3 linked regions of the Stegostoma tigrinum genome follow. The main gene of each other region encodes a partner of the protein of the gene in region 3 in a complex. Links are inferred from orthologs where the notes say so. Each region holds a gene or a part of one and is shown on either strand. Other genes may lie near its edges.

Region 1 (7,618 bases), on a different chromosome or scaffold from region 3:
TAAATCAAAGCAAACTCTTTACACCACATGAAGTTTACATCAAATTTGATGGTCATCAAATTCAATTCCCACCATATTTTACATCCCCTGAAGGTGATTTGGACTGTATGAAATTACATTTTGAGCAAATTTAATTTGCAAGTTATTTACTCTGTACCCACTTCAATCAATGCCACATCTAATTAACATTGTTTCCCACTTACACTAGGCTTCACATTCACCTTCTTACACCAAGCATGATTTACACTATTATTTACTCCCTGCCTTATCGCTGAATCACAATTTGCACTACTTACATGTCCCACCATGTACACAGAATGCTAATTGGAATTTGCTGCTCAGCAGGAGTTTTTCCAGGTTCCTTTAAATGTTTTCATGATTTATTTCACCCCTTGTTTAAAGCCTGTCCAATTTTGCAATCATTTAGTTGAACCACGTTTACTGTCACAGGAACTTCCCCAAGGTCTCCAAAATTACATGATCCACATTAGGAGAAATGAGTGAAAATCTTCATAGCCAAAGTGACACTTTCAAAATATCCTGTCCATGCTTGTTCCTTTTCTTGTTCATCAGTTACCCAAGCATTTCCAGTGTAACTGTTTTAAATTTGTAAGATTCTCCTTGATCCTTTTGAGGCAAATATACTCATCTTCAGGATGGAAATGGGATAAGCTCATATTCATTCACACATTGTTCTCTCTCCAAGCTTTTAACATTGTTTTTCTGGTTGTCTTGTCATTTTCCGTTCTCAAATATCGCTGGAATCGCTCAGCAAACAGATGTTTTCATGTTACCCATTTCTGCTCCTGAGAGTTAGTTTGCACAACTGCTGTTCTTGATATTCTGCTTCTGATGGTGACCCCCATTTCTTCTATCCTTTGGTTGCTGTGAGAACATTGTTTCTTATCCTCCTTTTATTGGTTTCCAAACTCTCCATTTCTCTTCACTCTAGATTTTTGCGTTAAATGTTTTTTTCTACTGGACAGCCAATGCCATGTCAGAGTATTAAAGGCAGAGGAGGACATAGAACATGGAGAAAATGAACAGGAGTAGGTCATCTGCCCTTTGAGACTGCTCAATATGATCACACTTAATCATTCGGTCCCTTGTTCCCTGCTTTCTCACCTCCTTCTGCAGCATTACTCCTTTAGCCCCAGGAAATATTTCTAACTCCGTCTTGAAAAAAATTAATGTTGTGACTTCAACTACTTTCTGTGGCAGAGAATTACACCGTCTGGGTGAAGAAATTTCTCCTCATCTTATTCCCAAATGTCCTACCCTCTATTCTTAAACTCTGACCCCCCTTACTGGACTCCCCACTCTGGGATTATCATTCCTCCACATTTACCCTGTCTAGATTCCCTCAGCTTAAACCGTGTTCCAATGATCCCTTCACTATTCCCTTTTCCATGTGAAGACTATACTGAGTTTTCTCTTTGCCAGGATTAGAGGATTGAAACTTGAGCCAACTTCTATCGTTTTACCCTTGTTGATACCCAGGGACTTTGGCCTTAATAGGCAGTCAGGATCAGACATGGCACAACATGATGCATCATTTTGTCCCTTTAGTGTAGGGGTTATCATATTCTGTCAAACGTCACTAGAATTCACTGTCCCTGTATGAAGGCAATCTGACTTGCTCCCATTTGCTGCTAAATGTTAACGGGACTCATTTTAAGTGACCTGCAGCACGGTAGTAGTTTCAGCGCCTCTGGACCAGAAGGGCTGGGTTCAAAACACTCTTAAAAGGAAGAACAATGACAGGGCATAGGTTTAAAGTGATTAGATTAGATTAGATTAGATTCCCTACAGTGTGGAAACAGGCCCTGCGGCCCAACAAGTCCACACCTCCCCTTGGAGCAACCCACCCTGACCCATCCCCCTATAACCCACACGCCACTGAACACTACGGGCAAAGCAAGGAGGAAGTGAGAAAAATCTTTTCCACATTGTGACTAGTTAGGGTCTGGAATGCACTGCCTAGAAATATGGTAGAGGCAGGTTCTACTGAGGCATTCAAGACAGCAATTGTTAGAAATGGGGGGCTGGGATAGGGGGATAAGACAGGAGACTGGCATGAGCTAATAGAACCATTGCAAACAGGATAGTCTGGACTGCATCCTTCTGCAGCATTACAATTCTGGAACTCTCCGGAAGTCCCATCCAGACAGCTAGGAAATGTATCTTAGCTTATCTGATTATAACATCTATAACCCGATATTCTTGCTCCAAACTTTTAACTTTGCTCGTTGAGCAAAGTTTGCACTAAGCAATGCAAGCGGTTTATCAAGTCACACATGTAATTCTTACACTTTATCGCATCCGCTGTAGATAAATTAACTTAAAGCCTCATTAATATCTATCTGCGGAATATCCCATTGAATTTTCCCCACATACAGCTTCTGAGCAAACAAGGGCTTGAACTGGCAATGAACTCATGTCTCCTGATCCCTGAAATTGGACCAAGCAATGAACCAGTGGATGAAAACACATCGGGATCTTACCTCCAAGTGTGGCGAAGAAGCCTTCAAAGTTACAACCAGTTGGTCCAAAGATGAAATAGCCATTCATTGAGGTGATGGTGGTGGTAGTGAATCCACCAAAGACCATGAAGAGATCAGAAACAGCCAGGTTGAGGAGGATGTAGTTAAGAGGCTGCCGAAGTTTCTTGTGCTGGATGGTGACGTACAGGGTGAGGAAATTGATGGGGAACCCTGTTATAATCAGGAAGAACATGTAGGCTGCCAGCACGGAGAATTTCCAAGGCTCAGCCAGGTAGTACTGCGGGTATTCGAATGGGCTCCTAACCACACCTGTCTTGTTGGACATGGGTATATAGAAGTTCTCTCCTTCGGTGCCATTCATGGTTGCAGCTTGTTGTGCAGCTCAGTCGAAGCAAACTTTCTCCTTACTTTCCCTCGATGGTGATCCTCTCTGAACCTGACCCGAACCAGCACAGGAACTGACTGACTTGAGCAATGACAGGCCACAATCAAACCCCCCCCACTCCAGGTCTCTGAGCCCCCTTATAAAGCCTTGGATTACTCTGACCCTGCCTGTCAGCAGAAAGCAATTTAAGCCACGGCAAAAGAATAATAATCCAGGCAGGAGCTGAGACGGTATCATTGAGCCATTAACACTCACACTGCTGCACTGGGCAGTGAGGCCTTTGCCCTGACAGCCTGCTCAGAAGTTGTCAAACATGGAAGAAATAAAAACACAAAGTTGATACAGGTCTGTGTCGGTGAGCAAATTTGCTAATTATGCCTGTATCTTCACGTCATTCCATCTGGGAGGGCCAGCATACACATGGAGATGAGCTTCATGTGTATGCTGGCAGTTCCCTGCTCCTTTAACACATCACCCTGTTCCCTGGCCAATATCTCTGTCTCTGGCTTACTGCAGTGTTCCAGTGAAGCTCAACACAAGCTGGAAAAACAACAACTGGTTTACTGCTTGAGGACCCTGCAGCCGTCCGGACTCAATATCGAGCTAAATAATTTTAGAGCCTATATTCTCCCACGTCCTAGGCCCTACCCCACATACCCAGGTCTTATTATCACATAGCTTGCCATTGCACACTACCTGTTGTTAGCCACTAGCAGCCTCTCTTAACAGCTATTCACCCCACTAGCCAGATCATTTTCAACTGCTTTGTCCAACTGTTCTTCTCTCTCTTTGAGCTCTTTCTTCTGCCTATTTTTTACTCCTTACCCCCTACCCCCACCCTGACTTCTGCATGCAAACCAACATTTTCCTAGCTCCCATCAATTCTGGGGAAGGGTTACCAGGTCCAAAACATTAACTTTGAGTCCTCTTTACAGATGCTGACAGACCTGCTGAGCTTTTCCAGCAACTTTGTTTTTGTGTCTGTTTTACAGCATCCGCAGTTCTTTTGGTGAATGTAAGGGTATTGTGCTGGTGTCTATTGTGTTGAATGGAACTGTTGGAATATCAGAATCTGGATTTGTGTTATTTTACAGGCTAGAACACATATAATAGCGAGTACTATAACCTGTATGAAGAGACTGTGCTTGCATTTTACACAGAAACATTGAAACTTAGAAACTAGGTGCAGGAATAGGCCACGTGGTCCCCTTGAATTTACACCACCATTCAATATGATCATAGCTGATTATGCACTCTCAGTATTCCACTCTTACTTTCTCTCCATACCCCTTGATCCACTTAGCCGCAAGGGTCACATCCAGCTCCCTTCTGAATATATCTAATGAACTGGCCCCAACAGCTTCCTGTGGGAGAGAATTCCACAGGTTCACAACTCTGAGTGAAGAAATTCTTCCTCATCTCAGTCCTGAATGGCTTACACCTTATTCGTACATTGTGACACCTAGTTCTGGACTTCCCCAACATCAGGAACATTCCTCCCATATCTAGCTTGTCCATTCTCATCAGGATTTGATGTTTCTAAAAACCACACCCCCAAATCCCATTCTTCTAAATTCCAGAAATAACAAGTCCAGTTGATCCAGTCTTTCCTCATATATCAGCCCTGCCATCCTGAAACCAGTCTGACGAATCTTCGCAGGATTCCCTAAATAGCAAGAATGTACTTCCTCAGACTAACAGACTAAAACTGCACATGGTACTCAAGGTGTGCCCTCACCAAGGCCCAGTATAACTGCAGTAAAACATCCTTACTCCGAACTCAAATCCTCTTGGTCTGAGGGCCAGCTGCTATTAGCTTTTCTCATTGCCTGCTGCACCAATACACCAACCTTCAGTGACTGTTCCTCCATGACACCCTGGTCTCATTGCACCTCACCTTTTCCTGAACTGCCACCATTCAGATAATAATCTGCCTTCCTGTTTTTGTGACCAAAGTGGATAACCTCACATTTATCCCCATTATATGGCATTTGCCACTCAGTTTGTCTGCCCAAGTCACCTTGCAGCCTCCTAGCACCCTCCTCACAGCAGACACGGACACCCAGCTTAGTATCATCTGAAAAGTTGGAGATATAGCATTCAATTCCTTTGTCCAAATCAGGAACATATATTATGAACAGCTGAGGACCCAGCACAGAACTCTGCAGCACCCGTTCATCACTGCCGATCACTCTGAAAAGGGCCCATTTATTCTAACTCTCTGCTTCCTGCCAGCCAGTTCTCTATCCACTTCAATACACTACCTCTGATACCTTGAGCTTTAGTTTTCCTTACTAATCTCTTGCATTGAACCTTGTCAAAAGCCTTTTGAAAGTCTAGATATACAACATCCACTGATTCATTCTTGTCCACTCTACTGGTCACATCCTCAAAGTCTTCCAGAAGATTTTTCAAGCATGATTTCCAGCATTCTGTAGACTCTGAAAGAGTTCCAATGGACTGGAGATTCCCTTTAGCAAATCCTTGGACCAATCCTGCCACCACTTTCCAAATGCTAAATTAATACTTAATAATTGACTTCAGCAATTTCCCCATCACTGATGTCAGGATAACTGGCCTATAATTCCCTACTTCCTCTCCCTCCTTTTTTAAAAAGTGTGTCACATTAGCTACTCTCCAGTCCATTGGAACTCTTCCAGAGTCAATAGAATGTTGGAAAATAATTACCAATATTTCTAGGGCTACTTCCTTACATGCTCTGGGATACAGAGCTGCAGGCCTCCCTGGGGAGTTATTGGGTTTTAATCCCATCATTTTCCCCAATACCATTTCCTGACTAAAGAAAATGTCCTTCAGTTCCTTCATGCTTGACCCTCTGCCCTCTAGCTTTTCCTGAAGGTTATTTGTGTCCTCATTAGTGAAGACAGATCCAAAGTATTTCAGAAGAAAGGTCCCAACCCGAAAAGCCAAGCCTTCCTGCTCCTCTGATGCTGCTTGGCCTGCTGTGTTCGTCCAGCTCCACACCTTGTATTCTCATATTCTCCAGCATCTGCAGTTTCTATTATCTCTGTCAGAGATCTACGTTTGTCTTCACCAGTTTTTTTTTCACTAATCAATAGAAGCTTTTGCAGTAAATTTTTTAATATTCTTTGCAAGCTTACTGTCTTTATTCTATTTTCCTCTTCCAAATTAAACCCTTTGTCCTCTGCTGAATTTTAGCAGAGCTGATTGTAATAATGGTGTCACTGTCCTATTGATGTAAATAGAGCCCATAATTATCAAGACAAATCTTTGAGAACAGAGATAATGGGAACTGCAGATGCTGGAGAATCCAAGATAAAAAAGTGTGGGGCTGGATGAACACAGCAGGCCAAGCAGCATCTCAGGACCACAAAATCAGAGAGCTCTCTGATGATGGGTCTAGGCCTGAAATGTCAGCTTTTGTGCTCCTAAGATGCTGCTTGGCCTGCTGTGTTCATCCAGCTCCACACTTTGTTAAATCTTTGAGAGCTACCAGTTGCTGATTATTTGAAGTAAGTGGGAGTGATTCCCATTGTTAGGTAAATATCTATCAGATCCAGAGGGACATCTCTGAGAGCAACAGTGTGGTTTGAGGAATGAGAGTGAATCTCTGTGAGGAACAGTGTGAATATGAGCAATGGGAGTGAATCTCTGTGAGAAACTGTCATGACTCCCTATGAGCTCTGGCAGTGTCTGTGGGGAGAAATCAGAGTTAACATTTTAGGTCAAGTGACCCTTCCTCAGAATTGATTAATTTCTGTTTTGCTTCGAATTTACAGCATCCCTAGTTCTTTCGGTTTCCATCAGTCGACGTGAACTGTCCATGCCTATGGTACAGTGCCATTCAAATTCAAGCACCTCAGTGTCAATATTCCTGACACTCAACTCTATTATATCTGTCAAGGTTCCCTGATTGGATCGAGATTCACAGACCTAACCAGGGAATCCAGTCCAGATTGTTGATCATGTTACAATCGCAATGAGGATCAGTGTGAATTTGAGCTATTGGAGTGATGTTCCATGAGAAATTGTGTGAGGTTGGGAATTGGAAGTCATTCTCTGAGGAACAGTGTAGGTTTTAAAGAATAGTGATGAATCTTTCTGAGGAACTGCGTGAGTGTGGGAATTGGGGATTGATTTCAGTGAGGAACAGTGTGGGTGTGAGAAATAGGTATCGATCTCAGTGAGGAATGGTGTGAAAGTGAGAAATAAGTACCGAGCTCAGTGAGGAACAGTGCGAGAGTAAGAAATAGGTATCAATCGAGTTTTGAGAAGATTTGTAGCTCAGGCTGAGGTTCTGGATTGAGTTTGCTCGCTGAGCTGGAAGGTTCGTTTTCAGACGTTTCGTCACCATTCTGGGTAACATCATCAGTGAGCCTCCGATGAGGCGCTGGTGTTATGTCCCGCTTTCTATTTCTCTGTTTAGGTTTCCTTGGGTTGGTGATGTCATTTCCTGCGTTGGTGATGTCACTTCCTGTTCTTTTTCTCAGGGAATGGTAGATTGGCTCCAAATCAATGTGTTTGTTGATGGAGTTCCAGTTGGGATGCCATGCTTCTAGGAATTCTCGTGGGTGTCGATCTCAGTGTGGAACAGCATGAGTATGAGAAATTGGTGTCAATCTCAGTCAGAAACATTGTGAGTGTGAGAAATAGGTGTCAATTTCAGTGAGAAATGGTATGAGTGAGAGAAATGGTGATGAATCTCAACGAGGAACAGTGCCAGCATGAAAAATAGATTTCAATCTCA
Region 2 (7,897 bases), on a different chromosome or scaffold from region 3:
CATCTTACCATCAATTTCTAATTTTAATGCTTGTAATGTTGCTGCCTGTCTGTTAGTTTACACTAAATACCCTCTGAGTAAAGGAGCTATTACTAATGTTTGTTCTGAATTTACTTTTGTATTTGCATTCTGTGTTTCTACTGACACGATCCACTTGAAAATGATATTCTGACATTACATCATCTATCTATTTGATTTTGTGTTTTATATACACAAAAGAGACCAAACTAAGGATCAAACTGAAGGTGCATGATTTCCCCATTGACTTTAGGCTCAAATGGGGGTCAAGAGGTCAAAGTCTGTGAGGAATAGTCACTTGCCTCTGATTTTCCCTAAATTGCTCAAGTTATGACAAGTCAGCAGCCTTGCTGCCCAATAGGATAATGAGCAGGCTCTTGAAACTGGATGGCCAATAGGTTCTCATTTAGCTCAGAAGGAAGAGGGGTGAGTCTTTCAAGGAAGTGAGAAAGAGGGTACTGGAAGATGGAAGCCCCATCTCAAACTTTTCAAAAGTTCTATTTTTAAAAAATCTGATTAACTGGGCCACCATCGTGAAGTGTTTTCAGCAATACAGGGAGCTGTGCCTGGAGTCAGGTGGATGTGGAGGGCCTTTAAAACTGCCTGGAGCAGAAGGTGACTTGCACCATAGTTCCCCCAGACCTTTAGGGACATTAGATGACACAGAGTTTCCAGTTGACCCTCAACAATTTGCATTATTTTATCTTTCACAAGGTCCAGTAGCTGCCTACTGCTTGCAGTTGGGTAACCCTTCCAACCCCTACATCCTGCCACCCAGAAAACAGGGAGTTGGCACCCCAGCTGGCAGGAGGGAAGTCTGTACCCACTCCCAATAAAGACTCACCCCTACAGTTCTGTGGGAGGGTCAGCAGACCCAAAACTTTAACTCTGCTTTTTTCACAGACGCTGCCAGACCTACTGAGCTTTTCTGGCAACTTCTGTTTTTGTTCCTGATAAACAGCACCTGCAGTTCTTTTGGTTTTTTGTTTGAAGACTCACGCCTAAACTGGAAACCAGTCAGTGTCATAGAAGTTTTATAGTTTTGAGTGTGTAGGTTATCTGTCCAAAAAAGACATTTCATGTGATTTTTTTTTGAAAGAAGATGCATTTCTTTGTTGCAATTGACATTTCTAGTGCCAAGCTGCATAACGATGGTTTTTGCTACAGACTGCACTGATTAACGTTTTTTGCCAAATGACTTCACAGGTAAAGTCAGACTGCTGCAAAATTTGATTTAATATTTAAGGATTATTTATTTCCTTTGTATCCATTTTTGGGTTATCATTTAGTAGACACATATAGTCTTGTTTCAACAAAAATAACAGTGGAATGTGTGACAAAAATAGTGTGGAAATAGAAGCCGGTAATTTAACGCTAGATTCTTGTCTAACTGAAATACTACTGCTTCTAAATATCTGAGCGAATTTGCTTCGATTGACTTGCTATACAAGTAAACATTACATTGCATCAGGTTGAAATGGAATTCTTCATATCCAAACAAGCAAATCCAGATCATGTGCAATGAGAAGTTTAATGAAGGTGCAGGAAGATCTTCCAGCACCTCTTAATTTCCTGCATCCATAGTTCTTTGGTTTTATTTAGTTTGGTACCTCCTGCCTGCTCTGTAATTTCTGTCACTGAGTTTCTCAATTTGGATTTTACCAGAGCCACTCAGCTATAGACTGCATTATATTCAATTTTGGCCCAAACATGGGTATAAAAGCTGAATTTCAGTAGCAAGGTAAGAGTGGTTGACCTTATCATCATGGCTGTTTTTGAAACTCTCTGCTGTTCATAGTCATTATTAGCACAAAGGAAGTTGAGTTTGCTTGTTGGAAGATAACTATGTCAGCCATAAGACTTTTCCTCGAGGCGTTTCCGTGAAATATTATTCTGAGATGTTTTATCAATGATTTTCCCTTTAGCGTTAGTGCAGAAATGTGGATGCTCACTTATTTATTGCAGTGTTGTTCACAACTTCTCATGTACTGAAGCAATTCATTCCCACATACAGTAACCTGGACAATATCTGGGCTTGAACGAGTCATAAGGGTACAAGACAGTGAGATGCATGTGCAGAAGTAGGCCATTCATCCCACTGAGTCTGCTTCACCATTCAAAGAACAAATAAAAAGGACATGTGTAATATTGAGATAACAAGATGTAGAGCTAGATGAACACAGCAAGCCAAGCAGCATCAGAGGAGCGGGAAGGCTGATGTTTCGGGCCTAGACCCTTCTTCATAAATTGGGAGGCAAAGTGTGTTCTGAAATAAATACGGAGAGAGGGGGAGGTGGATAGTAGATAGATAGAGGAGAAGGTAGATGGAGAGGAAACAGACAGGTCAAAGAGGCGGGGATGAAGCCAGTAAAGGTGAGTGTAGGTGGGGAGGTAGGAAGGAGATAGGTCAGTCCAGGGAGGACGGACAGGTCAAGGGAGTGGGATGAGTTTAGTAGGTTGGAGATGGGGGTGGGGCTTGAGGTGGGAGGAGGGGATAAGTGGGAGGAAGGACAGGTTAGGGAGGCAGGGACGAGCTGGGCTGGTTTTGGGATGCAGTAGGGGGAGGGGAGATTTTGAAGCTTGTGAAGTCCACATTGATACCATTGGCCTGCAGGATTCCCAAGCAGAATATGAATTGCTGTTCCTGCAACCTTCGGGTAGCATCATTGTGGCACTGCAGGAGGCCCAGGATGGGCATGTCGTTTGAGGAATGGGAGGGGGAGTTGAAATGATTCGTGACCGGGAGGTGCAGTTTTTTATTGCAAACCGAGCATAGGTGTTCTGCAAAACGGTCCCCAAGCCTCCGCTTGGCTTTCCCGATGTAGAGGAGGCCACAACGCAGTATACCACATTAGCAGATATGGGGCCTGGGATAGGGTGAGGCGGGGGAGGTGTGATGGCAGGTGTAGCACTTCCTGTGGTTGCAGGGAAAAGTGCTGGATGTGGTGGTGCTGGAGGGGAGTGTGGAGTGGACAAGGAAGTCATGGATAGAGTGGTCCCTTCGGAAAGCAGATAAGGGTGGGGAGGGAAAAATGTCTTGGGTGGTGGGGTGGGATTGCAGATGAGAATGTCGGAGGATGATGTGTTGGATCCGGAGGTTGGTGGGGTGGTACATGAGGATGAGGGGGATTCTGCTTTGGTTGTTATTGCAGGGAGGGGGTGTGAGGGATGAGTTGCGGGAAATGCGGGAGACATGGTCGAGGGCATCCTCGACCACTGTGGGGGGAGGTCGTGGTCCTTGAAAAACGAGGACATTTGAGATGTACAGGAGTGGATAGTCTCATCCTGGGACCAGATGCGGTGGAGGCAAAGGAATTGGGAATAGGGGATGGCATTTTTGCAGGAAGGTGGGTGGGGGGAGGTGTATTCTAGGTAGTTGTGGGAGTCGGTGGGCTTAAAATGGATATTGGTTTCTAGGTGGTTGCCAGAGATGGAGAAATAGAGGTCCAGGAAGGATAGAGAGGTGTTAGAAATGGTCCAGGTGAACTTAAGGTTGGGGTGGAAGGTGTTGGTGAAGTGGATGAACTGTTCGAGTCCTCGGGGGAAGACGAGGCGGCACCGATATAGTCATCAATGTAACGGAGGAAGAGGTGGGGTTTAGGGCCAGTATAGCTACAGAAGAGGGACTGTTCCACGTAACCTACAAAGAGGCAGGCATAGCTTGGACCCATGCGGGTACCTATGGCACCCCCTTTGTCTGTAGGAAGTGGGAGGAATTGAAGGAGAAGTTGAGGGTGAGGACGAGTTCGGCTAGGTGGATGAGGGTGTTGGTGGAGGGGGATTGGTTGGGCCTGTGGGACAGGAAGAAGTGGAGGGCCTTTAGGCCATCTGCATGGGGAATACAGGTGTATAGGGACTGGACGTCCTTGGGAAAGATGAGGTGTTGGGGACCAGGGAATTGGAAGTTCTGGAGGAGGTAAAGGGCATGGGTGGTGTAGGTAAGGATTTCCTGAACTAAGGGGGAGAAAATAGAGTCGAGATAGGTGGAGATAAGTTTGTTGGGCAGGAGCAGGCGGAGTCGACCAGTTTGTGGATTTTGGGTAGGATTGTCACGTCCCAGTTCCCCTTTAAATCACATACCAATCTGTCTTGGATTTCTACGACTGTTTTCAGCATTGCGACTGAGTCAAAATCCATTATGGGATTAACAGGACCACCACAAGAAATAGAGTGGTTCCACGTGAACACTTACACTTTTCTCAGGGCAACTATATTTTCTGTGAATCTTATGTAATCCTGTGCAAGCTTATAAGGGAGAAGTGAATACAGGGTTACGTGATATAACTAAATGAGTAAAGATAGGAGAAAGCTTAAGTGGAGCAGCAACCTGTTGTGTTGCTTGGCCTGTTTCTGCTTGAGATAAAGGATGAACCACGATCTTGTCGAGTGGCTGTGTGGTTTTGATTGTCTGAACAGCCGACTTCTGCTCCTATTTCCTATACTTCCATACGTAACTTAACAACAAATTTCAACTTAGCAGTTTATCCACACCCTGACAACAAAGTTAAAAATAACCAACAATTCCATTCTCTGTGAATACAAATAATCAATGGATTAGTAAATTAACAACATGTGTTACTGCAAAGTAACATTGTACAGAAAATGAACTGTCTGCAAGCACAGATGTTGATTATAATTTTAAGGTATTTTAGGTTTTGTGTCAGTTATTTCCATTAGCTATTTAGCTTGCAATGTATGTAAAAATTTTGCTGCCTTTGTGAATGTCAGGCAAGGAGATAAAGACTAATCCTTTTAATCCATAAAGCTTAATCTGTTCTCATAAATATAGTTCTGCAATCAGTCTGTACGGTCTTTAGTGAGTCAGAAGAGGTCTTGTGTAGTCCTTTGCATCTTCTAGGCTGTGTGAGTAGGAATGGGAAACTCTAAAAGTAGTGCCCTGTCCAAGAGTATCTTGGAAGACCTCAAAATGAACACCAAGTACACAGAAGAGGAGCTCTCCTTATGGTACAAGACATTCTTGAAGGAGTGCCCAACTGGCTTGATCACCATGGCACAATTTGAGAAGATCTATTCTGGCTTCTTCCCAGATGCAAACCCCAAAGATTATGCTCACCATGTCTTCAGGAGCTTTGACACCAACAGTGATGGGACACTGGATTTTAAGGAATACATCATTGCCCTTCACCTCACCTCCTCTGGAAAGATGTCACAGAAGCTTGAGTGGGCTTTTTCTCTCTATGATGTGGATGGCAACGGCACAATCAACAAGGAAGAAGTACTGGAAATTGTTAAGGTATGGCTAAACTTTAAATCGATGCCCAAAACTGCACCATGTCAGTTTAGTAAATTGGTGAATAACTCACATCCCATCTTGGTGTTATTTTCTTCTCTCTATTTCCCTTAATGCTTACCATTCAGCTACAGAGCATATTTTGAGTGCAACCTTTCCAATCAAGGCCTCTCCTGCAGGCGGTGACCATTATCTGCAGAAATAGCCGGAGATGAGTGAGCTGATATTATTTCTTTTCTCCTTCCCATCTTTCTCAAGACAATCATGGGGTTACCATATAAAAATGAACACATCGCACATTCTACCATTATACAACTTAACTCAGCAATAACTTCAAGTTATGCATTCACTGCAAAACAAAATCTTGAAATTGTTTTTATTTCTAATGCATTGAAGCATAATCCCAAGGCATCCTTAGGCACTTTGCTTTTAAAGCATAGCCATGTCTATACAACTGGACTGAACACAAAATATACTGGCTGCAAAGTTTGAGAAAACCAGCCAATGAACGTAAATTAGATCATGTGTTTTTCATGGTGTTGATCATAGAAGGAATATTAACTCGATTACTGGAAAAATCCTCTGGTCTGATTTGAATAGCATCAAGGGAATGAATACATTAAGTTTGTAGCAAATTAATTAAATGTAGAGCACAACACACCAATAGCACGATCTATAAAGATAACATTCATCATAAGTAAAAGTATCTATTAACATTTCAGTTGGGATATGTATTACAACAGCAAAGGACTTATTAGATAGGAGACTGATCAAATTGCCAGTAGCAGTCCATGTGGATATAGTGGAAATATGGAAGAGTTTTTGATGGTTTAGTCACTGTTGCATTATGTTACATTAATAGTTGTGATGACTTCGGAATGTGACTGGAATTTGTAAATATATTAAAGCTCAACTTAATGAGCAGTATCTGCTTCATTGCACTCTGTGTTGGAATACGACTGAACAAAAATACAATGGAATGGCAATTGGGATGTGATGTTTGACCTTTCAAATCTTTTAACAATGTTCATGTTTCATATCGTTGTCCTTCAGAAGCACTTCATGGTGCATTCAGATGTCTCAAGATCATGAAGGGCTGTACTTAAAAGCAGGAGGGGTAACATTTGACCTGGAAACAAATGTAGGGATCATGACATGCATATTCTTTTGAATGCAGGCGGTTTGTGATTTTCAAACAACCTGCTGACTTCCATGATATTTGAGTGCAGTGCTCTTGGTAGCTGTATAGGCTAGCACCACTTAAAGCTGGTATCCACAACTTAAAGACAAACTGCACTTTGTAGGGAAGATACGTTCTGGCTAGAACAGCTGATGGAATTAACTGGTGGTTTTGCGGAGGAGGAACACTGACTAATCAAGAGTTTCAGGTCCAGCACTGGAGATGCTAATGCCAAAGGTGGAGAAGAGGGGAGACGGCTTCCATCCAGGTGGGCTTTGGAGACCCCTCTATATTAAGGCTGAGAAGGCTATGGGAGCAGGTAGGTTTCATAGTCAACATATCTATTGTTGCTGGAAGGACCTGGATGCAGTGCTGTGAGCTCAATGTCCTCAAATAAGTGCTCAAATTCAGAGAAAATATCTTCAAATTTCATATTCTCACAACTGAATTTTATGACTAACCTCAGACACTGCTCTGTTCACCAACCCCCTTCACTCGCCTATCAATAATCACTATCAGTCATTACCCATGCTTCACATTTGCCACCACACCGATCTCACACTTAGTCATGCATCTCATGATTCGCAAAACTGCCAGCTCTTGAACCGTGGCAGATAAATCACATAAGCACATTGCGATGGGCTCACAGGCACAGCTCCAACTCTCTCAATGAGCAAGTTGGGGCTGTAACTGGGAGCACAGCTTTTGAGAAGCAGGGGACAGGACTGGCTGTACGTATTTATTTGCACAGAGATGGACTTACACTGAATCCTCTTTCACAGCTTCCTCTCACCTCCCAATCTCCCCTGATTTAAAAAGCTGCACGGGGTCTAATCACACACTTCTCGCTGCCCCTTTCCCTCTCCGCTGACCCTCAACACAACACAAGCCTTGTGTCTTTCTCTTGTCCGATCCTCAGGGACTTAACAGTGATGGAAGACTGAGTGGAGAAAGGTAAGGAGGACAATGATGAAGAGGGAACACAAGTATTCACAGCCACTAGCTCAGACAGTGACACTGCACAAAGCTCGGGAATGGAACTTGCACAAGTATCCTGGAGCTGGATCAGAGGACAAGGATAGCAACAATTGCAAATCACCAGAGGATGAGGGTACCCCTGGGTCCTGATGCAAAGAAGTCAGATGATGATTTTGAAGAATCAGACTACCAAGGACAATGGTTGAGCACATGCAATGAAAAGGGTAATGTATTCAGGAACTCACCAGAAAGCCTGTGGTCAATGGTACACAGCATGGAGAGGATCACTGTTGACTCTGCCCGCTCGATGATCTATTCGCAGGATACATACCGAGACAAATATCGACTGTACTTGGAGGAGCATCAACTCGGTGAAAGGTGCTCTTTGGTCTGCCTGAAACTTGTTGGTACTCCAGAACAAGGAGTTGACCCTGACCGAATATTGCAGACTGCACATTCCAAGATCTAGG
Region 3 (7,518 bases):
ATTGAGAATAACCTCCATCATATTGTGTGGCACTATCACTGTGCTCAATGGGGCAGACTTCAAACAGATCCAGCAACTCAAGACTGGTCATCCATGAGGTGCTGTGGACCATCAACAGCAGCAGGATTGTACTTCAGCACAATCTGTAATCTCATGGCCTGACATATCCCCCGCTCAACCATTACCATCAAACCAAGGGATCATCCCTGGTTCAATGGAGAGTGTAGAAGGGAATGCCAGGAGCAGCGCCAGGCATACCTGAAGATAAGGTCTCAATGTAGTGATCTACCAAACAGGATGACTTTCATGCCAAACAGCATAAGTGGCTACCATCCCACAACCAGTGGATCAGATCTAAACTCTGCAGTCCTGCCGTATCCAGTCATGAATGGTGTTGGACAGATCAAACAATTCACTGGGGTGGAGGCTTCACAAATATCCCCATCCTCAATGATGGAAAAGCCCAGCACATCAATGCAAAATTTGAGGCTGAAGCATTTGCAATAATCCAGTGCGACTGGATGATCTACTTTCACTTCCTCCAGTGATTCCCAACATCACAGGTACCAGTCCGCAGCCAATTCGATTTACTTCACGAGATATATAAAAAAAGTTGGAGGCACTGGATAGTGCAAAGTTTTTTTTTATTCAGTTGTGGGATGTGAGCATCGCTGGCTGGGCCAGAATTTATTGCCCACCCCTAGTTGCCCTTGAGAAGGTGGTGGTGAACTGCCTTCTTGACCCACTGTAGTCCTCCTGCAGTGGGTTGACCCACAATGCCCTTAAGAGAGGGAATTCCAAGATTTTGACCCAGCGACTATGAGGGAGCAATGACATATTTCCAAGTCAGGATGGTGAGTGGCTTGGAAGGGAATTTGGAGGGAGTGGTGTTCCCATCTGTCTGCTGCCCCTGTCCTTCTAGATGGAAGTGGTTGTGGGTTTGGTAGGTGCTGTCTGAGGATCTTTGGTGAATTTATGGGCCTAACAACTACCTGATTGATGCATCTGCCCACCTACTTTCATTGACTAGTGTACAAAGACATCCAGATCCCTTTGTACATCCACATCTCTCAATATTTTACCATTTAAACAATAATAGACCTGTACACAATACTCCAAATGCGGCCTAACTGAAGTTCTATACAGCTGCTACAAGCATTGCCAATTTTTATACCGTGTGCCCAGAATGATGAAGGCAAACGTGCCTTATACCTTCTTTACCACCAATTCCACTTCTGTTGCCAGTTCCAAGAAACTGTGGACCTGTATACCTAGATCCCTCGTCTGTTGATGAAACTGAAGATTTAGCCATATATTGTCTACTTTCCCCTGATATTAGATCTTCCAAAAGTGCATCACCTCACATTTTTTCAGATTAAATTCCACCTGCCATTTCTCGGCCCAAGTCTCCAGCCTCTCTATATCCTGTTATATCCTCTGACAATCCTCTTCACCATCCACAACTCCCCCAATCGCAAATGTACTAATCGTTATCGTTCTCAATTTTTCACATTCCCAATTGACACGGCGCCTCCATGGAGTGAGTGGGCTCACATCTCCACCCTCCTTTAAGGGAAAAAGAGTCATGCTCCATGTTCTAATCTCCTCTGTCCCCCCCCCCCTCTCCTGCTCTACTAGTGAGGAATGTTTCTCTCTCTCTCTGTTTAACCTTGGGAATGTTTGGTGGATTCCAGTTTCTACTCCCACATTATCCCACGGTTTTAGTATGGTTTTCCTTCTATTGTCTCTGTGATCCCTTTGCTAGCTTGGCGTTGTGTCATTCAAGCAATTATGTCATGTCACCTCCCCCTCCCCCACCCAAAATATCCATGTGTGCCCTTCCATTAATTAATCTTGGAATGATTTGCTTCATTTCAGCCATTGATTGCAACTGATACTTTGTGCGCTGTGTCTGAAATAATGAGTGGGACAGTGGTCTGGCAGTTATTGTTAAACCCCTGGTGCCAGTTAATCTGTTCAGAGGTCAGGTTCATAGGAAGGTTATTGAAATGATCCTTTTCAGCAGCTTACGGTGATGTTTTATCCAATTACTCTAACCCACATCCTACAAAGGATTGGCATTTATTGAATGTCATTTACCACAACAATTCGTCTGCTTCAATCTATTCCACCTTACCTGGTTTCCTTTTCTCTTCTTCAGTCTCTTCTTGTTCAGCTTTTTGCAAGCATACAATTTCCCTGTGGCCTTCATCTGACAAGCAGACACCTCGCCAAACCCTCCCTTCCCCAAGACCCGAAACTCCAGGAACCAGTCCTCCCCAATGGGTTGAGCCTCCAGCCACTTCCACTGCAAGAACCTCATGAAATACATGCTCTCCTTGTAATGCTCGAAGGGACTGTCCTCCTTTAAGAATTTCATGGTGGCCTCTTTGCACTCCCTGAAGAGATCCTCTCTGACATTCTCACAGTCCTCTTTCACTCTCAAGATGCTCTTTTCTTCCAAATAACTGCAGAAGAGCTCAGTCCCCGACTCCAAGAACTTGCTGATAATGTTTCGAGCTTTCTCGAGAAGACCTTCATCTTCTGCTGTGTCGTACACTTCAATAGCCTTCCAGAGTTCATTGGCCGGTTTGTACTCTGCCACTGAGTCTAAGTATTGCTGGAATAGCTTCTTCCCAATGGGCTGCTTGACACAGATGCTATCGAAGGCCAAGTCAATCTGCTCCTTCAGCGTTTCGCTCTGGGTGATGTGAGGGAGCTTCAGCTTGGCTCGATATTTCTTATCCCTGGTCATCTGCAGGTTGGCGGATCCATCGAAACTGCCCCGAGCTGAGATGTACGCGGAGTTGGCCACCACTGTCTGCAGACTCCCCAAATCCATCCTGATGTCTTTGGTTGCTAATTCACTTCAACCAGAGCAAAACCATGTGAGAGATAGAGAGGAGGGGGCGGTGGGGCTCAAAAAATGCACAGCAGGATCCCAACACTCTGGGGCCCTACAACATGCTCAACAACAGAGCAAACAAAAGGAACTGAGGAGAGGGGCTCAGTGTCTGTGCTGCTGACATGACTGACCCAGCCAGGGGTATGAAAGAATGGTGTGTCTTACACTTTCTCCGGTCTCTTTATCTTAATCCCATCCAATGCTTGTCTGTCTTTATTATAGAGGGCAGGTAGCAGCAATCAAAATAATCCTGAGTCAACATCTTAAATAAATATTTGATCCACTTATAAGTAATTCCACGTCAAGTAATTCCTCTCTTCCGCTGAAACGTCTATGTGTTTCTTTTTATATCTATCACTCTCGAATATTATAACTGTGTCACAGTAATTACCAACCACTCTTGACTATCATAACTGTGTCACACTAATTACCTCTCACTGTCTAATATTTTAAGAGTGGCACACTTAATTATCTATTACTTATTAATATTATAACTGTGTCACACTAATTATCCACTACTCTCGAATATTATAACTATGTCACACTAATTATCTATTACTCTTGAATATTATAACTATAACAGTATTTATCTATCACTCTCGAACATTATAACTGTCAGGCTACTATTGTTGTTGTATTAATGTCATGATTGTATCCCTTTCTAATATTAAGAGTCTCTAATATTGAAAGATACCACTCTCAATTGTTATCCCTGTGTCACTCTCCAATGTTACAACTATCATTCTCTAATACTATTACTTTATAACTCTCTAACATTATAAAGGAATTACTCTCTAAAGTTATCTTCGTAGCAATCTCTAATATTCTACTCAGTTTAATCCCACTCTTTCCCACATTCTCGCAATCCTTAATATCCCACCCAGTCTAATCCCACTTTCTCTTCACTCTGTCTCATTATAACTGGCACAGTATTTATCTATTACTCACTAATATTATGACTGTCACCTTATTTATCTTTCACTGTAGAATATTATAACTATAATATATATATAAACTGTCCTATAATAATATTATTATCACACTGATTATCCATCACTCTAACATTATAACAACGACACAAAATTATCTCGCTCTTTCTAATGTTATAATTGAGTCGAGCTAATTATCTATCACCCTCTAACATTACAACTGTCCCTCCCTATTGTAACTGTGTCACACTGATAGTATAGCTGTTGTGCTCTAATATTATATTGTAACTATCACTCTCTAATATTATAACTGTCACTCTCTGAATTAAAACTGTACTACTCTAATGGTATAGCTATTTCTCTCTAATATTGTAACTGTCACTCTGTAATATTGTGCCACATTGATAGTTTAGTGTCTCCCTCCAATATTGTAACTGTTACTCTCTAATACTACATTGCACTGTTGTGTCAGTTTTATATTATAATGGTGTCATTCTCAGTAACAAGTGTTATACTCTAATGTTAGAATTACACCACTCTTAAATGTTATCCCTGAATCACTCCTAAATATTACACCTGTTTTACTCTCTAACATTTTTACTCTAATACTGTTCAGTAGTATAATTGCATCACTATTAAATCACTTTCTAATATTAAGACTGTCTAATATTGAAAGTCACTTGTTATCCCTGTATCACTCTTCAATGTTACAGCTATTATTCTCTAATACTATTGCTGTATAACTCTTTAACATTATAAAGGAATTACTCTCTAAAGTTATCTTTGTAGCATTCTCCATATTCCCATTCATTCCCATACCCCTTAATATCCCACCAAGTCTAATTCCACTTCCTCCTCACTCCTCACACCCTTTAATATCTCACCCAGTCTAATCCTACAATTACACTAATTCAGTGTATTGCCCATTGTTATGAAGTAATATTTCTTTGGATTTGATCCAAGGCACATTTTGCAATGCATTTCTGACTTACTGCAGGCCAGAGCTGAACTGTTTCAACTACGTTGAAGTGAAATGAAATCCTGGGTTCCAGGAAGAAGTGCTGCATATCTTCAATATTTACTTTTATTGTAAAATTTAGAAGGACAGAGTAAGATGAGTAGAGTCTAAAATATAAGAAAGGACTGGTGTGGAAAGATCTAGGCTGGGAAATAGCCTATGTGAGAATGAACTAGTGTGAGAATAAATAAGTGTAGGAATTAGATAACATTTTAATATTCATTCAGGGGATGTACATGGGCCAGCATTTTTTTGCCCATCCCTAACCGCGCTTGAGAAGATAGCACTGATCTGCCGTCTTGAACCAATACAGTCGACATGGCATGGAGACCTCTGCAGTTCCATTTAACAACACTGAAGGAAGGTGATATATTTCCAAGTCAGGATGATGAGAGACATGGAAGGGACCTTACAGGTGTTCCCACCTATTTATTGCCCTACTCTTTCTGGACGGTAGTGGTTATGGGCTTGAAAGGTGCTGCCAGAGGACTCATAGAGTCACAGTATGGAAACAGGCTCTTCGGCCCAACTTACCCATGCTGCCAGTTTTCACAGTTAAACTAGTCCCATTTGTGCAGCTGTTCTCAAATAATGATGCAACATGGGCCACCCTCCAACCTTTGGGCATTTTACCTATGGCTGTCAATGATACAACTATCTCCACTAAGGGCTCTGTAATTTCCTCCCTAGCTTCCCGCAAAGTCCCGGGACACACTTCATCTGGTCCCGGGATCTTATGCACCTTAATGCGTATTAAGACTTCCATCATCTCCTCTTCTGTAATGTGTCTCTTTAAGACATTGCTATTTATTTCTCCAGGTTCTCAGCATCTATGGCCTTCTCCATGGTAAATCCTGACAAGAAATATTCTTTAGGATCTCACCTATCACTTGTGGCTCTGCACATAGATAACACTGTTGCACTTGGAGCATTGTGTACAGTTTTGGTCACTCTGTTATAAGACATAGTTAAACTAGAAAGTGTGGAAGGAAGATTTACTAGGATGTTGCGAGGACTAGTAGATCTGAGTTACAGGGAGAGGCTGGCCAGGACAGGACTTCATTCCTTGGAACAAAGGAGAACGAGGGGTGACCTTATTGAGGTGTATAAAATCATGAGGGGCATAGATAGTTTGAAGGCATGTAGTCTTTTTCCCAGGGAAGGGAATTGAAAATCAGAGGGCTGGGTTTAAGGTGAGGGGATAGATTTAAGAAGGACCAAGGAGCAACTTCTTCACACAGAGAGTGGTGCATATGTGGAATGGGCTGGCAGACAAAGTGGGTGAGGCAGGAACAAAAGCAACATTTAAAAAGCATTTGGATCGATATATGGATCAGGAGCATTTAGAGGGATATGGACCAAATGTGGACAATTGGAACTAGCTGAGTGTGCAGCATGGACCAGTTTGGGCCAAAGGGGCTGTTTCCATGCTGCATTACTCTATGACTCAATTTCCCGCTGCCTACTCTGTGTGTGTGTGTGTGTGTGTGTGTGTGTGTGTGTGTGTGTGTGTCGGGGGGGTGTGGGTGCTATAGTACAATCAGAGTCATCTCCTCCTTTTTACTTCTCAGTTCTACACACACAGACTCAGTGGACAAACACTCAAGAATGTCATCTGTCAGTACAGCCATGATGTTCTCCCTAATCAAAAATGCAATTCTCCCTCCTCTCTTGCCTCCCCTTCTATCCTTCCTATAGCATCTATAACCCAGAACATTGAGATACCAGACCTGTCCCTCCCTGAGCTATGTTTCTGTGATAGCTGTACTATCCCAGTCCCGTGTACCCATCCATGCCCGAGTTTATTTGCCTTACCTGCCAGTCCTCTTGCAATGAAATAAAGGACCCTTGTTGAATTTCTGCAGTGCGTCTTGTAGATAGTACACACTGCTGCTTTCGCCTGGATGATGTCAAGTTTTTTCTTTGAGTTGTACTCATCCAGGTAGGTGGGGAGTATTCCATCCATCACACTTCTGACTTGCGCCTTGTAGATAATGGGCAGGCTTTGGGAAGTCAGGAGATGAGTTACTCTTTACGGTATTCCTAGCCTCTGACCTGCTGTCATAGCCACAGTACAGTTTCTGGTTGATGGTGAGGGATTCAGAGGTAGTAAAAGAATTGAATGTCAAGGGAAGCTGGTAACATTCTCTCTGGTTGGAGCTGGTCATTGCCTGGCTCTTGTGTGGTGCAAGTGCTGTTTATAGTCATCAGCCCAAGATTGAACAATCTTGAGGTCTTTTGGCTTGCGTGCATGAACAGCTTCAGTATCTCAAGCATCGCAAACGGTGCTGAACCTCCCTGCTTCTGACTTTGTGACAGAGGGAAAGTCATTGATAAAGTTACTGCATTTTGTAGAGCCTAAGGAACCTCCTGTAGAGATGAGCTGGAGCTGGCATGTGGGTCAGTGGTTAGCACTGCTGCCTCAAAGCACCAGGAACGCAGGTTCAACCCACCTTTGGGTGACTGTCTGTGTAGAGTTTGCACATTCTCCCCATGTCTGCATGGGTTTCCGCCAGGTGCTCTGGTCTCCTCCCACAGTTTAAGGATGTTTAGGTTAGGTGGATTGGCCATGGGAAATGCAGGGATAAAATAGGGGGCATGTGGGTTGGATGCTCTTTGGAGAGTTGTTGTGGACTTGTTGGGCTGAATGGCCTGTTTCCACACTG

What was found.
Region 1: the proteins of grk1a (region 3) and rhodopsin are in contact, whole or in part, in a cryo-EM structure (PDB 7MT8), measured with the Bos taurus proteins. The link is inferred for Stegostoma tigrinum from reciprocal best matches to the Homo sapiens genes GRK1 and RHO. Residues at the interface, in NP_776598.1 of Bos taurus: Leu6, Glu7, Thr8, Val9, Val10, Ser13, Ala14, Ile16, Ala17, Ala18, Arg19, Gly20, Asp23, Ala24, Glu184, Asp185, Trp186, Phe187, Leu188, Asp189, Phe190, Val192, Arg195, Glu200, Gln205, Met206, Lys207, Lys221, Arg222, Thr256; in NP_001014890.1 of Bos taurus: Lys66, Lys67, Arg69, Thr70, Arg135, Val137, Val138, Val139, Lys141, Ser144, Asn145, Phe146, Arg147, Phe148, Glu150, His152, Leu226, Thr229, Val230, Ala233, Gln236, Gln237, Glu239, Thr243, Ala246, Val250, Met257, Ile305, Tyr306, Met309.
Region 2: the proteins of grk1a (region 3) and recoverin-like are in contact, whole or in part, in an NMR structure (PDB 2I94), measured with the Bos taurus proteins. The link is inferred for Stegostoma tigrinum from reciprocal best matches to the Homo sapiens genes GRK1 and RCVRN. Residues at the interface, in NP_776598.1 of Bos taurus: Phe3, Gly4, Leu6, Glu7, Val9, Val10, Ala11, Asn12, Ser13, Ala14, Phe15, Ile16; in NP_776590.1 of Bos taurus: Lys22, Trp31, Ser34, Phe35, Glu38, Cys39, Phe49, Ile52, Tyr53, Lys55, Phe56, Phe57, Tyr86, Leu90, Thr93, Ser94, Phe188, Glu189.

What each region holds. Positions count from the first base shown.
Region 1 is NC_081364.1:67,532,667-67,540,284, reverse strand, and holds the start of rhodopsin, read right to left. Parts: upstream 3,021-7,618; 5' UTR 2,866-3,020; coding exon 2,505-2,865; intron 1-2,504. UniProt on the Homo sapiens protein: Photoreceptor required for image-forming vision at low light intensity. Required for photoreceptor cell viability after birth.
Region 2 is NC_081375.1:46,580,036-46,587,932, forward strand, and holds the start of recoverin-like, read left to right. Parts: upstream 1-4,828; 5' UTR 4,829-4,891; coding exon 4,892-5,272; intron 5,273-7,897. UniProt on the Homo sapiens protein: Acts as a calcium sensor and regulates phototransduction of cone and rod photoreceptor cells. Modulates light sensitivity of cone photoreceptor in dark and dim conditions.
Region 3 is NC_081365.1:77,174,681-77,182,198, forward strand, and holds the start of grk1a (rhodopsin kinase GRK1), read right to left. Parts: upstream 3,079-7,518; 5' UTR 2,843-3,078; coding exon 2,138-2,842; intron 1-2,137. UniProt on the Homo sapiens protein: Retina-specific kinase involved in the signal turnoff via phosphorylation of rhodopsin (RHO), the G protein- coupled receptor that initiates the phototransduction cascade.